2 linked regions of the Kluyveromyces lactis genome follow. The protein of the gene in region 1 binds, or shares a complex with, the protein of each later gene. Links are inferred from orthologs where the notes say so. Each region holds a gene or a part of one and is shown in the gene's direction. Other genes may lie near its edges.

Region 1 (2,657 bases):
AGGTGGGATCCGCCTTCACCGGTTCAATTATTTCTGTTTTAATTGTCTGAATCATGGTTTTGTATTTAGTAAAAGTTTCTTCGATTAACTTGAAATTTGTAGATTCTTTGGACTGTTTAAGTTTATTCCTCTCCAGTTGTTCTTGTTCTTGCTTCTTTTTCAGGGCTTCTACTCTCTTCGCTTCTTCAGCTTTCTTCTCCTTTTCTGCCATTTCTTGAATCTTCCGTTTCTCTTCCTCCTTCAACTTCTTTTCCATCTCCTTTTTATGCTTCAATTCTTCTTGTCTGCGCTTCTCCGCTTCGCATTCTTTCTGGATACGTGCTTCCTCTTCCCTCTTCTTTTTATCCTTTATGCTTTTAATTAAACGTTGATTCACCTTTTCAATTGAATCAATTTCCTCATTCCACACAGATTCAAGCACCTGGTCTTGCATAGGAAAGGTGTGTTGTTCCACCTCGTCAATCAAATCCTTCTTCTCTTGGTAATAAAGTTCTGCTTCGTCAATAAGAACAGGGCCTAAAGCTTTATTCTCGTGACCTCTCGTTGTAAGATGCGGTAGTGCATTCCTTTCAAGAGTGATATTTAAGTTGGAAAGCATTGAAACTATTTCTGGTTCTACCACATCCTCTAAAGAAATTGTATCTCCTGAACTAAACCCTTGCTCTTCACCTTGGCCGTCATTCTTTGAAGAATGGTATAATTTCGGTAGTTTTAACTGGATCCCATCAGATGGATCGCCAATATACGTAAACTCCCCGTCTAATTCATAGTCAGAATCACTGCTGCTGGTATTCTGACTCTGTTTCCGTTCAGCATTCTCGTACAATTCGTCAAATGAGAACCTCATCTCAATTGTCCTGATATGTGTCAATCGCTTTCTTTACTTTATCAAATCGGTAAAAAGCTCAATTCAAGTAAACGATTCGGGGTTAAGTTCGACTGTTATTACCTAAATGGAGAATCCAGCTACGTGTCTTTAAGTACGGGATCAAAAAAAAACGGCTGCAATGCATCAACACAAGGGCTGAAAGGTCAACACTCTCTATAATCATCAACTGAGCTCTACCTGGTTTTTAATCAAATTTCACTTTTTGTTGATTCTTGTCACGTGACGTATATTGAATTCTCTGTACTTGAAAGTTTTAAAAATTTTTCGACCTTTCGAGCTAAAGCTGTAAGATAATGATAGAGATTTGATCAGTTTCACTCGATTTAAAGCAGTATTCCTTCCCATTCGTAGGTTTATACATTCATTCGTTCGCATCTGTGAGAAGATACCAAGTGATAATGCAAGTGGTACGTGGTTTCCACAGTAGTTCAAAGGTCTCCAAAGCTGCTTGTGCTTTGGTTAAGCCAGTGCATCATTTGGTTAAGATCGACAAGAGCAAGCTATCCCCAAGGTTTCCTGAATTGAAATATAGTAAAAACGATATTAGATCTCCAGCATTCAAGCCTGTTGTTACACATCAAGACCGTGTTCGTGAGCATTATTATAATACTTTACAAAGCGATTTATTATTGATAAATTATTCCCACAAAAGCCAAACGAAGCTCGGGTTGAAGCAAAGAGAATGGGACGGTTCTTCTCCATATCACATTAACAGAGAACCCAGAAAACCTAAGGGCTCAAGTGCTCAATTGCCAGATATTCATCCAGTAACGTGGAAGAACATTCCAGACATCGAGTCCGTTGTTATTAACTGTTACGTCAGAGATGCAAAAGAGAACCAATATCTACCAATTTCAGCAGCATTACAATTGCAACAAATTACCGGGTGTAAACCAAAGGCTTTGTTCTCTAGGAATGATGTTCCGGCCTGGAAGGTCAGAAGAGGTACCCAAATGGGTGCTGTCATTACATTGAAAGGTCGTCCAATGTCTCAGTTCTTATCCACTTTGACTGAAATTGTACTACCAAGAATCAGAGAATACAAAGGTATCTCCAACAAGTCAGGTAACAGATTTGGTGGGTTATCATTTGGTATGACCAGCGATGAAGTCAGATTTTTCCCAGAGATTGATGCTAATCAAGATCTTTGGCCAGTAACTTTTGGTATGCACATCAACATCAACACAACTGCCCAAACTGACGTACAGGCTAGAACTTTGGTCAGTGGATTCGGTTTTCCTTTCAACGGTTCGGAAAAGATCAATTAATGCTCCCAAGTAGTTTTTATCCTGTCTTTCGTCCTGTAAATAACACTCACTAATAGGATAAAAAAATTATCAGCATTATATGTATATGACTACCTTTATACAAATGTCGACGTCTCTTAATGTACACTTATATGTAATAGATTTCAATAAGTAAAAAGTGGCATATATATTGCATTACAGGTAATTGGTGAGATCAAAGTCTTCAAATTATTAACCTCAAACACGATCAACACTAACGATATTCATAGTTCTTCCCATTCTGGTAATATTGTCACCATTGGTTAAAGCTAACCCTTGGGTCTTTGAACGAATACGGATTTCACCAACAATTTCTTGTGTGATTGGATCCTTCTCTATGCACAGGTTAGCCAAAGCGTCCTCGCCAAATGTAGATCTAGAATATAAGTTACAACTTAGGAATCTGGAATCATTGTCGCCGAGTGCCTCTTCAGGGGTTAGAACCTTCATATGTGTAACTTCCACCAACTTCTCTAAATAAC
Region 2 (2,581 bases), about 290 kb from region 1:
GTGTAAGTCAAAATAGGGAGAAAAGATTGGATAATAATGGAAACGAAATCAGTGATTCGCAAATCGTTAGTCCGTTTGGAGAAACTATGGATCAACCAGACCTAACACAACCTCCTGTACGTCCGACAATGGGAAATCCTAGATTCAGCAATGGTTCTTTACCAGATGTAACTCAACAAAGGCGACCGCTAAGAATCGCCAATCCAGATGAGCTGGATGATGAGGATACAGAATTCAATTCGATCATCGAAAATCTCAGGGGAGATTGATCCTGATACAATATAACATCATCTTTTTAACACATTTCGCTAAGATAATAGCATGATATACCCAATATCATCCCCTTGTTGTTGTCAAACAAAACAAACGCCAAAAGGAAATATTCCAAATATAAAACATCAACTAAGGCCCACAATAAGCCATGTTCCATACTCACTACTGATACTTGATACCCCTAATGAAAACTATCAACTGAGGATCAGTTAATTGTCTAACACTATAAACAAGACAAGTCACAAAATATATCGAAACGATTTATGTTATACTGATAAGTTGGGCTTTCACATATGTACATATATAACGTTATAATACTCATTTAATTTCTTCACATTTTACTTCAAGGTATCTTTATAATGGTTAATTGTCATGTTTACTGTCGGGAATTATTGTGCTACATTTTCATCTAGGGTAATTGTTTAAGGGATCCAAAAAAATGCTTCCAACCAGAGTCGAACTGATGATCTCCACATTACTAGTGTGGCGCCTTACCAACTTGGCCATAGAAGCTGTTTCTTGTCATAAAAAGAATTTACCACTATATACTCCTACGAGATTATTGCCTGCTACCAATTCTTTTCTGGTGGACCTAACCTATTTTGAACTGAGGAATACGCAGTTTATAATGTTACAGCTACATTTTTGAAAAACGTGATGCTAAAATAATAGTAGGTTTACTGAAATAGTTTCGGCTGTTTCAATTTGTCAATCTGCTAGGCGCATCTAAACACTTACATCAGCATTGCATACCCTCTTATCGTCTCCAAGCTCCCTCTGTGTCCTAGCGAATCTCAGCATTTTAAAAGGTTACCCGAATACCTAATTTCGAAAATTTTTTAGAATGAATATGGTTAACTTACAAGAAATTACTGGAGATGATTTGGATATTCAATGAATCTACTGGATATCTACTATTATCGATATTTAATAGCCCTATCTCGAGGTCTCACAATACTAGCACGATGTTTTCGATCAACAAAGTGGTGAATCCCTTTGGATCACTTATACAGAGATCATTTGTACGCCAAATCACGATCCTTGGTGGTTTAAAACCTGGTGAAGGCTCTAAGAAGAACTACAAAAGATTGGGTAGAGGTCCATCCAGTGGCAAAGGTAAGACTGCTGGTAGAGGTCAAAAGGGTCAAAAGGCCCGTGGTTATGTAAAATCATGGTTTGAAGGTGGTCAAACCCCAATCTTCAAATTGTTCCCAAAGCTAGGGTTCACCAACGTAACATCACTAAAATTGAAAGAATTAAACCTTGATAGAATAACGTGGTTCCACCAAAAGGGTCGCCTACATTTGGAGCCAGGTGAAACCTTGACGATGAAAAAGATGAAAGAAATCGGTTTGGTTACCGGCCCGATCAAAGATGGTATTAAGATTCTAGGTGATGGTAAATTCTCTTATAATCTTCCAATCAAGATTGAAGCTACTAGAGCTTCACAGGATGCAATTGAGGCAATCGAACATGCAGGCGGAAGTTTCACTGCTCGTTATTTCAACCGTCTTGGTCTAAGAGCCCATTTATCACCACATTGGTTCCTAGAAAAGTACGGAAGAGTTCCTCTACAAGCTAGACCCACAAAGAGGAAGGATATTGAATATTACTGTAACGAAGAAAAGAGAGGTTATTTGATTATGGAAAATGACCCATACTATCAACTTTTGCAGAAATCCAAAGATGAAGGCGGTAAAAATTTGGTTGCTCGGAAGACCAAGAAGTCCAAGCTTGAGTTGCAATTAGAGCAACTTGAGAACGATTTTGCTCCTGCTTCTCCAAATTCTGAAATTAAATCAAACTGAACATCATATAGCAATATAGAAATGCCCTGTATATAATACACATCATTCAACGCCATTTCTCCAGATTTATACACCATATCAATCAAATTGATATCTGTATTCACAAGTTGTAGCAACTTTTGTCTATTTAATGCTCTAAAGTCTAAAAATATAAGAATGAGCTTGTCTCACTTTTACACATCGTTTTGTGGAGTAGAAGACTCTGTGTTTTTGTTGTCCAACAATCTTTCTTCGAGAACCTGTAGGGCTAACTTTTTCCTTCTTTCTTCCGCTTCAGAGCCTTCAACAGGCTTAGCACCCCTCTTTTGAGCCAAAATGTTAGCTTGTTCGATATCGTATACTCTAAACGGAGTTGCAATACGCCAATCAACAATAAACTTCTGGTAAAGGTAATCAAATATTGGCTCAAGTACTGGTTTGACTAAATCCGGGAAGAAATATATCAATTGGAATGTCTCAGAGGCATCTCCTACCACTTCAAATTCAGCATCCTCAGCCAT

Evidence for each region. The genes of interacting proteins can lie anywhere in the genome.
Region 2: MRPL7 (region 1) and MRPL10 share a complex: the UniProt entries of both Schizosaccharomyces pombe proteins name them as parts of the mitochondrial large ribosomal subunit. The link is inferred for Kluyveromyces lactis from reciprocal best matches to the Schizosaccharomyces pombe genes mrpl7 and mrpl10.

What each region holds. Positions count from the first base shown.
Region 1 is NC_006039.1:1,326,639-1,329,295, forward strand, and holds MRPL7 (mitochondrial 54S ribosomal protein uL5m), read left to right. Parts: upstream 1-1,287; coding exon 1,288-2,157; downstream 2,158-2,657. Other genes in the region: nucleoporin GLE1, read right to left, coding at 1-847; SEC26 (coatomer subunit beta), read right to left, coding at 2,374-2,657. UniProt on the Schizosaccharomyces pombe protein: Component of the mitochondrial ribosome (mitoribosome), a dedicated translation machinery responsible for the synthesis of mitochondrial genome-encoded proteins, including at least some of the essential transmembrane subunits of the mitochondrial respiratory chain.
Region 2 is NC_006039.1:1,033,445-1,036,025, reverse strand, and holds MRPL10 (mitochondrial 54S ribosomal protein uL15m), read left to right. Parts: upstream 1-1,151; coding exon 1,152-2,081; downstream 2,082-2,581. Other genes in the region: WSC2 (Wsc2p), read left to right, coding at 1-269; KLLA0_C12111g (uncharacterized protein), read right to left, coding at 2,255-2,581. UniProt on the Schizosaccharomyces pombe protein: Component of the mitochondrial ribosome (mitoribosome), a dedicated translation machinery responsible for the synthesis of mitochondrial genome-encoded proteins, including at least some of the essential transmembrane subunits of the mitochondrial respiratory chain.